Linked DNA regions of Drosophila melanogaster. The protein of the gene in region 1 binds, or shares a complex with, the protein of each later gene. Each region holds a gene or a part of one and is shown in the gene's direction. Other genes may lie near its edges.

What was found. Proteins that work in one complex are often made in the same cells at the same time.
Region 2: Wdr24 (region 1) and mio share a complex: the UniProt entries of both Drosophila melanogaster proteins name them as parts of the GATOR complex.

The regions. Positions count from the first base shown.
Region 1 is NT_033777.3:29,741,453-29,747,014, reverse strand, and holds Wdr24 (WD repeat domain 24), read left to right. Parts: upstream 1-1,922; 5' UTR 1,923-2,015; coding exon 2,016-2,133; intron 2,134-2,191; coding exon 2,192-2,831; intron 2,832-2,893; coding exon 2,894-3,226; intron 3,227-3,279; coding exon 3,280-3,364; intron 3,365-3,424; coding exon 3,425-3,580; intron 3,581-3,637; coding exon 3,638-4,096; intron 4,097-4,162; coding exon 4,163-4,348; intron 4,349-4,411; coding exon 4,412-4,768; 3' UTR 4,769-5,043; downstream 5,044-5,562. Other genes in the region: IntS11 (integrator 11), read right to left, coding at 1-222, 278-1,252, 1,332-1,545; Gnpnat (Glucosamine-phosphate N-acetyltransferase), read right to left, coding at 5,276-5,317. UniProt on the Drosophila melanogaster protein: An essential component of the GATOR subcomplex GATOR2 which functions as an activator of the amino acid-sensing branch of the mTORC1 signaling pathway.
Region 2 is NT_033779.5:2,215,613-2,221,149, forward strand, and holds mio (missing oocyte), read left to right. Parts: upstream 1-1,677; 5' UTR 1,678-1,814; coding exon 1,815-1,932; intron 1,933-1,985; coding exon 1,986-2,159; intron 2,160-2,217; coding exon 2,218-2,469; intron 2,470-2,561; coding exon 2,562-3,492; intron 3,493-3,548; coding exon 3,549-4,104; intron 4,105-4,164; coding exon 4,165-4,646; intron 4,647-4,707; coding exon 4,708-4,798; 3' UTR 4,799-5,013; downstream 5,014-5,537. Other genes in the region: daed (daedalus), read right to left, coding at 1-613; CG15386 (uncharacterized protein), read right to left, coding at 963-1,196; CG42371 (uncharacterized protein), read right to left, coding at 1,214-1,347, 1,401-1,530. UniProt on the Drosophila melanogaster protein: An essential component of the GATOR subcomplex GATOR2 which functions as an activator of the amino acid-sensing branch of the mTORC1 signaling pathway.

The DNA.
Region 1 (5,562 bases):
GGGCGTTGTAGGACCGGGCCTCTGCTTTAAGCAGGGAAACGGACGCATCTACTGGTATCTTCACAGGCGTAGAAATCACACAGGTTTCGCCGTTGGCCGGCATGTAGGTTTCCAGGTTGAATTCGTCTTTGATCTTCGAGCGCAGGAACTTCATCTTCCCTGCTTCACCATGGACGAGCATGACGTTCTTTGGCTCACAGTTCTGAATTAGCTGCATAATGCCTGCAATACAGAAAATTAATTAGTATCAGCATAAAAGTGCTAAGCTTGTAGCCACCTTTGGCATCTGCATGGGCCGAGAAGCTCATGTACTCCACGGCCATTTTGACCTCGACCACCTGGCGGTTCTCGAACTCCACCTTCTTGGCGCCACCGAGAATCTTGTTGCCCACGGTTCCCTGCACACAGTAGCCGGGCATAATCACCATGTTGTTCTCATTCGGCGCCCACTTCTTGAAGATCTGCAGGGAAAGACCTGCGTGCAGCATGCCTGGCGTGGCGAACACTACCATCGCGCCAGGATTGTCGATGTAGGCCTTGTCAAAGGGCTTGATGTGCTTGAAGTCGAACATGTTGCGGTGAACGAAGGTCTTGCGGATCTTCTGGTTCGTCCAGGTGATGAACATTTTGTAGTAGGTATTGGCCTTCTCGGTAAGACCCAGAGCAAAGTATATGGGGTACTTGAGGTTCATGCGCTCCCAGTACGTCTCCAGCAGGATGCACAGCTCCTGGGCGCGACCCAGGGCAAAAACAGGGATTAAAACCTTGCCGCCCTTAGCCACGCACTCGTGAACTTTCTTGAGGAAGTCCCTCTCGCGACACCGCTTCGAGTCCCTAATGGTAGTGGCGTAGGTGCTCTCGGAGATCAGCAAGTCCGGCCGGCACTTGTCTATCCAGGCGGCTCCCAGATGCCTGTCTGGAGTCATGTTGTAGTCCCCCGTGTAGACAACGCTCTGGGAGCCCACCTTGATCCAGAACATGGCGGCGCCCAGGACATGGCCTGCATAGTAGGCTTTGATCTCAAGGTCCGTGTCCACCATCATACTCTGGTGAAGTGTGACGGGAATCACCTTCTTCATGCAGTCCTTGATCATCTGGGTGGTAAAGAAGTTCGACTCGCCTTTCCGCTCTACGGCCACCTTCCGCATGTCCTCCAGGAGGATGGGTGCTATGGCCTTGGTCGGATGCGTCATGTAGATGGGCCCCGTGTAGCCCACAATCTCTGACATGTAGGGCAAGGCCCCGCAGTGATCTGGAATGCATGCAATCGATAAAGAAACGATTAGAGCCAGTTGACCAGATAAGAGCGCCTTTGGGAGGCCGAGACTCACCCAGGTGGAAGTGCGAGATGATCACACAGTCAATGTGGCTGGTGATCGGACCCTCCGGCACTATGTAGGAGAAGTCCGGGAAGCGGCGCTCGTCGTTGTAGCCCATATGCATCCCGCAGTCGAGCATTATGTTCTTCCCGCCCATCGAGAGCAGCAGACAGCTGCGGCCCACATCCTGGCCGGCGCCCAAGGGCGTTATCTTGATGTCCGGCATTTCTGGAAGGGATCAGGATCACCCGGCTCCACTCTCCTGCTTTCTTGCGGCCACTTGTTGCGCTGGTAAATGAAATTGTCGAAAAAGTCGACCGTGATTTTTGTAAACAGCAAGGCCGCACGAATGGCGTTGCCACTCCGTCGGTGTGGATGGTCCGGCAACGACGCGCTCCAACTGGCAGATCTTATTGGAGTGTTCCAAGAAGTTTCAAAGAATTTAATAGCTTAATTGAAATTAATGTTTCTGTCTGTATATGTATAGAATACATTAATTATATGTGAATAATACAACTTTAGTACAATAAGTCTTTTGTTCAAACAATATTCAACATCTGCATTTGGGAACACTCGCGCCAATGGTTTGCCGCTCGAGAAACGGTCATACTGAACCGAAAGGAAAATAAAAGATAGCGTCTTGTCTTATCAAATCACTGTTTTGCTTTCTGCGGGCGAACTTGCAACTGCTGCAGGATGCCCGATTCCGTGGAGGACACCTCCACAATCTCGCTGCGGATATGCCTGGAAGGACACGCGAACGCCCTGGCCCTGAATAAGGACAACAACCAGATTGCTTTGGCCGGAAGAAGCTGTAAGATTAGAATTGCCCAAGGTCTTTCTATAAATACACATAATTTGCTTCCGAACAGTGCTTAAGGTGTACTCCATAAACAGCAATGGCTTCACGGAATCGTGTAATATGCGCGGAAAGAACCAGAATCTTAGCTACTCCGCCAACGATGTGGCCTGGTCCACCTTGGATAGCAATCTTTTGGCTACGGCGGCCACGAACGGAGTGGTTTCCGTGTGGGATCTCTCCAAGTTCGGCAGGCAGAAGCAGCTGCTTGTCTACAACGAACATGAGCGCACCGCTCATACCGTGACCTTTCACAGCAGCGAGCCCAACATCCTGATCTCCGGTTCTCAGGATGGCACCATCAAGTGTTTCGACATCCGATCGGATAAGTCAATCAACACCTACTTCTGCAACTCGGAATCAGTGCGGGATGTCAAGTTCAGTCCACACACACAAAACATATTCTCCGCCGTCTCCGAGAATGGAACTGTCCAGTTGTGGGACATGCGGAAGTGGGACAAGTGCATGGTGCAGTTTACGGCGCACTACGGGCCAGTCTACACATGCGACTGGCATCCCACAAGGAATTGGCTGGCCACCGGAAGTCGGGACAAGCAGATCAAGGTGTGGAACATGGATGGCAGGCCGGGATTGGAGCACACCATTCACACAATCGCCGTAGTGGGACGGGTTAAGTGGCGACCAGAAAGAACGTAGGTTTTTCTAGCCAGGTTTAACAGTCTTATTTATATTAAATCTGTTTAATCCTTTCCAGTTATCACATCGCTAGTTGTGCCCTTGTGGTGGACTACAGCGTTCATGTGTGGGACATCCGCAGACCCTACATCCCCTTTGCCTCCTTCAACGAGCACACCAATGTGACTACTGGAATTGCGTGGCAGGGCAGCGACTCGCACTGTCTTCTGTCCATCAGCAAGGACTCCACCATTTACAAACATGCTTTTAAGGATGCCACGAGGCCAGCGCTGAAGGCAAATGCCCAGGGAGCTAGCCTGGGCAGATTTGGGGACATCTCCTTTGCCAACAAGATCAAGGAGTATGAACCCAAGACCAGCGGTGCATCCAATACCAAGTCTTCTAGCTTCATGTATGTCGTATTTGTTGTATCAACTTGTATGTTTATATGTATGTGTATTTTAGAAGTCGCCGTAAGACGAATGTGGCTGGCAGCATTCAGTTCCATTTGGACCATTCCAAAATGTACAAATTCATGGTAAACGACACGGTTAGTATGACACTATTAGGGATTTCTTTGCCAAATCTGATACTAATTGATATATTTCAGTTTTCCGGCTATCCCCTAAGCGAATCTGTTTCAAGACCCACCCAAGAACACGAAAGTTTTATTGGCTGTGCCAGGGAACTTGTTATCAGTGGGAAAAAACTATCGGAGTTATGCGAGCACAATGCAGAGGTTTCCAAGAAATACGGCAAACATAATGTAAGCGCTTGAGATTATTCCCAAAATTTGCCAAAACTTAGCATCTACATTTTTCAGGCCACCACATTGTGGAACTTTATCAAATTGTTCTACGGCAGCAATCACTTTGAGCCTCCCTTCGAGCACCGCTCCTCCTTCTCGAATCAAAAGAATCCAATGAACTCACGACGTGCCACGCAAGTAGCCAGCGATTGGCCACAGCAGCGAACTGAACTAGGCCAGGATCTCAATGGAAACACGCCGGAAACAGCCCACGAAATTGATGTGGCGAATGTGGACGATGATACGCTCGGCAGCAGTGGTGTGGAGCATCCGCCTACGAGCTCAGTGATTCTGTCCGAAACGCAAATCATCAGCGAGATTACCTTTGACAACTTTGAGCTCTTGCGCAATGGGTTTATCTACGTGGGTCCCACAGAATGCCCGAAAGCTTTGGCCTTCCCCGCCCTTCATCACGATGTGCAGGCTGCACGACCACAACTGGATCTCAAGGCGTCCGATCACGAAAAGTCACCTGTTAGTTGAGATTATTGAGAACTCGATGTATTTACAGCTTAACTAACTTATTCATCCTCTTTTTAGCCACCGCATGTTCCCACTGTCCTAAAAGTCAGCCATGTCCCGCCCATACCCATGTGGGAACCGCATAAGTTCGTCTCCGATGCCCTCATGCTAATGAACGATGTGGGCGATGTGCAAACAGCTCTGACAGTCCTTATAGCGCTGGGAGAAGCTCGGAAGCTCCTGCCCATTGACGATGCATTGGTGGTGAGTTCAAAGACAAAGTTGGGATCAGAACGGAGTTATTCATCCGGTTTTCTTCCTTTTCAGGAGCACTGGTTTTACACCTACGTGGACCAGCTGCATCGCTATGAGCTGTGGAACGAGGCCTGCGAGGTTATCAACCGCTCCTGGCTGAGATCGGTGCAGCAGCTCAACCAGCACTCGACCGCCATGCACACGAACTGTGGAGAGTGTGGACGTCCAATGGGCGGCAAGGTGGGATGGTACTGCGACAAGTGCAAGTCCATGCAGTCCGCCAAGTGCTGCGTCTGCGGTCTGATCGTCCGGGGAGTCTACGCCTGGTGCCAAGGATGCTCCCACGGCGGTCACATAGAGCACCTGCAGAAGTACTTTGCCAAACACTCCAAGTGCCCCAAGTGCGGACACCTTTGCGCGTACTCATGAGACGCGGAGGAGGCTGGGTTTGCCCAGCTTTTGCCCCCCATTTGAGAGCCTTGTAAATAGAGAAGACTTAAGCCCAATAAGTACCTTGCACTAGACACTAAACAGATTTTTATATAAATGTAGCTCGAAGATGTAAACTTGTAAAATAAGCTCAACGTTTGTGAAGTAAATTAACAGACAGGTTTAATCGATCTTCTGCAACTTTAAATAGCACAAATGTTTGTTACTTAACTTTTTTTGAAATATTGGAAAATAAAACTGTTGTCTGTTGATGCAAGTAAGTTTATAAACATTCTGGGCTTTTGAAAAAAGTGTCCACTTTATTGAATTTCTTCAATCATTAAAGGTTTTTGAAAGATTCGTATTGGGTTTTAATCGCTATTGTTGATTAGTGTTAATAACAGTTTAACAGTTATGCGAGTGTTTCAATCTTAGGGCTACTTGATGAAGGTGCTCTTAAAAGGTAATATTACAACCACCTTGGAGTTGAGAGGTCGAGCCGCACATTCAGTAGCAGAAAGGGGAGAAAAAATTATAAAATTGAGAGTTCTGTAGGGATTAAAAACAGAGAGCAACATATGTTGCGGTTGTCTTTAACTAAATATCTAATTGTATGTCCTCGCGGGTGGGTGGACAAGCACGTCCGTCCACAAGGACACCACCGCCAGCCAGCGCTGTCCAAAAATCCATCATGCCCTCAGCGCAATGGAATTTTGGCAATGCCTATATGCATTTAATGTTTTCTTAGAATCCAATTTTAGTTTTGTTGCATTGCGCTTCGCGCATTTGTAACT
Region 2 (5,537 bases), on another chromosome or scaffold:
TCTGATTCACGCTTTTTAGAGTTTCCTGGGCAAAGCAGCTGGCATATCGTTTGTCGCCCACCACGACGTCCTCGGGAGTGGAGACCTGCAGCTTGTAGTTGGTGGCCGCTAAAGAAGCGCGCAGGGACATAAAGTGGTTGCCAGCATTGCCCAGAATCTGATTGTTGTAGTTTTCGGCTTCAGGATGGTTGCAAATGTATTCGTAACTGGGATTCTGGTTGGGAATCTTTTCGAACATCTCCAGGAGCTGTTGCCGTTGCTTTCGACACTTGAACCCGAAGAGTTCCAAATCTTCGTCGGTGAGAGAGGCCAAATCCAGATAGTTAATGTTCTCGGCAATAAGTTTGTCCACACAGGTGCTGGCGTAGTCCGTTTCCACGCTGGTAGAGCACAGTAGACCGTTGAGGATCTCCCTCTCCCGGCGTGTGTCCCTGTGAGCCTTTTGGCGAACCCAAGGACGTCGATTGTAGCCCAGGAAAGCACTGTCCAATTCCTTCTGCTCGGTGTGCGAGTGAAAGTTCTTTGTGGCCTCAAACTGAATGGTCGGCGGAACCTTGGCCATCGCCACCAAGGGGACATCCCCCGCGGACATTGTGTGCGTCTTCGTTGCCATAAACTCTGTCAATAATGGCAATTAAATTACCATTAAAATGCAATTGCGCTTAGATTAGATTCGCTGTTAAGAATCGGACGTTTACGAGCACTGCGAGTAGGGGTGGTCAAGATTCCTAACAGATTATGTTAAAAGTAACAGAAGTAGTAAGGGCTCTGTAAACATTTAAAACGTGAATATTAACAATTTAGTAATTTTATTTCCTTTTTCCTATTTCGCATTCTTGTACGAATCGAATTTTCTTCTAATGAATCACCCTACCCAACCAATTAAGATTAAATGCTTAACATTTGTATTTAAAAAGTATAACAAATTGATAAATTGATGACGATTAAGCTTCCTAACTATCCTATTTCTCGGACGATGACCTGTAGATTGGGGCACTGGTGGTGGACGCCTCCTGGAGCTTCTTCATAAACAGAGCCTTTCGCTGCTCATCCGCACTCAGTTTGGTACTTGAAACGGAGGCTTTGATGCGCTCTAACTTGTCGACGTTCGGCTCGGTTAACACCATTAGGCCGTACCCCATTCCTCCGAAGCCAATCAGCCACAAAACGGACTTAAAGTAGGGATTACTAAGCATTTTGGAAGCGGTCTCCTCTAGTCGCTTTTCTTCAAAGCACTCCAATAACTCGCATCCGCCTGTCGCACTGTGCTGTCTCCGACGATTTCACCAATTTTGTAGTAATAGTCCAAAACGAAGGGATAGTTCTCGTGAATATGCTGACGAAACTCTAGGAGCGGATTGTTATTAACGATCAAAATAATTATATAAATATCCTCCCACCTCGATTCGTGTTCATGCGATAATAAACGCCGTAGCTGGCTGCGAAGCAGACTGCCTCGAGGACAAACAGTGTTTTGGCACTTCCTTTGATGAATTTCCAAATTGCAGGTTTTGGTGTTTTGCGCAGCATTTTAAGTGGGAGTTGTAAATATTAAACACGTTTGCTTTCTTACAAAAAAAAAAGGAAAACAAAATCACCTACCAGCTTATCGATAAAACGAATTATCGAACTGGGCCAGTGCTGGCTAACATGCGGCCAACAGCTGGTCGACCGGCTAGTGTGTGTGCGCCTCTTCTTCTTGCCATGTAGTGCAGTGTTTATCTCACGTTTTTGTTTTTGCAAACTGATAACGCGACGCAATTTAGTCTGTAGTGAAAATTGTTTTTTTTTACATCGATGGAAAATCGGCCACGATGAGCGGCAATACACACGGACTCAGCTGGTTTCCACATTTTCCCGACAAATTCGTATCCTGGGGCCAGGAAATCCATTTATACGAAGTGCGCCGCAAAGATGATCACAGCCAAAAAAGTAGGGTTTTCCCCAAGGGATTATGCCACTTTACTTAACCGCCCCCCTTGCAGGTCGCCTGCCTTATATATCCGTGAACTACCTCGCCAACGAGTCGCGCTATCAATATGCCCGCTGCGTGGCCGCCTCCTACCACAGTGACCAGCCCATAATTGCAGTGGGTCTGGCGGATGGCAAAGTCGGGATTTGCAACTTCCGGGACACCTACGACAGCAGCTGGGAGTACAGTGGGTGGACGACAACGCCGATTCTTAGCTGCATCTAATAGTTCTTCATTTCTCGTAGCACCGCGTCAGCAGCGCATGTGCACCTGCCTCGCCTGGAACGAGCTGGATGCCAATATCCTGGCCATTGGACACGATCGCCATCGAAATGACACCTGCATCACCATCTGGGACATTGAGCGTGGAGTTCCCAAGGAGACGGCCAACTTCTTCGGCGTCGGCGAGTCGGCCAACTCCATTTGCTGGGATCGAAATCATCGCACGGTCATTGCGGGAATGAGCCAGAAGATGATAAAGCTGTTCGATCTGAGGCGTGAGTACACATAATGCGACTGGTTATATTTCAACTACGTAGTATTACTTTATTGCCCTTTCACTGATGAAATCTTTAAATCCCTTTCGCAGAGAGTAACGCCACCTGTCAAAGCATTCAAACAAAGACAGTGCAGGGACTTTCCGTATCCCCCAATGGCAACTATCTCTGCAGCTATGTGGACTCGGTGATCACTCTGTGGGATCCGCGAAATATCAAGAGTCCCCTCAGGCAGATTCAGTCCTCGAAAAACCATTTGCAGATCGCTTGGTGTCCGACCAGGACAAGCCTGCTTTCCTCGCTGCAACGCGATTCCTCCTACATCACTCTCTACGACATCCGGAGTGTGGACACGGACAATTCCGGAGAGATCTACCACGTAAAACGACAGATTAGCCCCTTTCCGGCTAGATACCAGCACAGTGGAAAGTTTTCGTTTGTTAATTGCCTGTCGTGGCATTCGAGGGATTTCGAGAGAGCTCTGCTTTTGGCAGATGCGCTGAACATCCTGGACTTTCGACTGCCAGCCACCTTGCACACGGCGCACAGCAATCGCCGGAAATTGCCACTTCTGATGCAGCGTCCGCTCTACACACCCGCCTCGCCGACTTCCACTGCGGCCACGCCCACTCAGCAGCAGCCCACGAGCAGCTGCAGCACGAATAGCGGGAGTTCCCTGGACTTTAGCACTCCTGGTGGTTCGCCCTTCAATGTGGACCTGCTGAAACCGGAACTCTTTGAGCTGGATCTGGTGGACGAGACGCGTCAGCGCGCTCTAGAGGATTACGGCATCAAACCCGATAACAAGCGATTCGGCGAACTCCACTTGACACCGTATCTGCGAAATGTGTGGTCCACTTTGAACAATGTCTACAGCGAGGATCGACTGACGGGCTTAAAGGCCACTTTGGGCATTAACTTGGGACACACCTCGGAGGCCTTGATGGCCAGCTCCCGCATTGAATCTCAGGTGCTCCAGTGGCCAGAGGGCATCAACAACTCCAACAAACTGATATGCTACAGGTAAGTTTATATGAATTTGTGGTTTGACGAGTGTGATAACCCCAATCTTTATGCAGGAGTGAGCAGCGCGACCTGGCCCTCCAACTTTGCGGTTGGGCCTTTGAGCAGGAGCTGGATCGCTTTATAGACCAGTTGTATGCAAACAAGGAGTACAGCCGGGCAGCCATGATCTGCGTGTTCCACTTGAAAATTTTCCATGCCTGCAACATCCTATCGTCGGCGGCGGACAACATGAGGGATCCCAGCATGTACAGGATCACCGTCATCGCCTTGTCCAGTTTCAATGCAGATCGCTGCAGTTCCACGTGGCGGAATCAGCGATCCAGCGCCAACATGCAGATACACGATCCACACTTAAGGGCTGTCTTCTCCTTTCTAACGATGGAGAAGGACAATTTTGATGCAGTGCTCAAAGAGGAAGGCGTTTCGTTATCAGACCGCATGGCCTTCGCCTGCAAATATCTATCGGAGACCAAGCTGGCTGACTATGTTGCGCAGCAAATCCAGGCGGCCATAGATGGTGGCGATCTAAATGGCTTGTTGCTCACTGGAGAGTCGCAGGACGGAATCGATATACTGCAGTCCTATATGGACACCAGCTTCGATGTGCAGGTGAGCGTGCGCTATAAAAACATATGTAGAAACTTTGATATACATTGAGCTGTTTCTTAGACGGTAGCCCTGGTGGCCATTAACTACTTCCGGCAAGAGCTTTTCGAGGACAAGCGCATCCAGTACTGGATCGCCAGCTACTTGGATCACCTCAATAGCTGGGGCTTGTGGGAGAAGCGGGCCGAGCTGGACATCAAGATCGAGAGCATCCGCCCATCCTCCCGCAGTTCCCGCACCGTATTTCTGTCGTGCAACTTTTGCGGCAAGTCTGTGTCCAACGCCTTGCTGGACGAGCCGCGTCCACGGAGCACCACCACCAGCACCAACAGGCTCTCCTCATGCCCCAGCTGCCGGAAACCCCTGCCCCGCTGCTCGCTCTGCCTAATGCACATGGGCACAATGGTGAACATGAGCAATGGGGAGACCCCGACCACCACGCCCGACGTGCCCGGCTGGCAGACCAAGCCCTTCTCAAAGTGGTTTTCCTGGTGTCAGACCTGTCGCCACGGCGGACACACCGAGCACATCATGCAGTGGTTCAAGTGAGTTCAAAGTTACCAATATTTAATTGAATTCTGACCAATGTACGCGTTTATTTGCCAGGCAAAATTCAGAGTGCCCCGTGTCGTCGTGCAACTGCCGCTGCTTCGACATGGACGGCACCAAGCCGAACACATTGAGAGACATTTCCTAGCTGTCCGGAGCACCCACCATACACAGCCCTTACTCGCCCAGGCCATATGCATATGCATTAAGTTGTTGATTTGTTCCAAACGCGTGCGCCTTAAACAAACTCAGAAGTGTTCATTGTACTTAGACAAGGGATGTGCCCGTAGCATTAGTGTTTATGACCTACCAGCTTTTAGCTGCTCAATTGCATTTTATACTTACATTCAAATAAAGGACTATGTGCGACAAATTACTATAGATATTTCTCAGCTTTTCTTTTGAAAGTTGAAACCGTTATAGTTTCGTGTTTTGCAACACTTTCAGGTAGTACTTATTAGCATTCTTGTTGGAACTGATAACGGTCACACCGCTTCGCACGTTTTTATGCGGCGTTATTATTTTTTGTTGCTTTCTGACGTAAATGTGCAGAAAAAGTGCTTCCACTCGTAGGGCTTAAGTGAATGGTTAATAACATTATGTGATAACGCCTGAACAAACAAATCAAGATATAGTGAATAGATTAAACCAAAAGACAGTGCCGATACACAAGATATAATATAAAGACGGTAAGTTGTGGGTGGGGGTACAAATTTCCATAAAGCATGTGAGTGCTACGGAATTTGAGCACAGCACTTTAACTGGCAGTTAAGATTAAATATTTGTACATGATAGCTTTGAAAATAGCGATATTTAGTTACTTGACCTTTTCAACTCATTCGTGTCTACACCTGAGGCTTTTGTCCAATCTGAGTGCCCGAAAACGG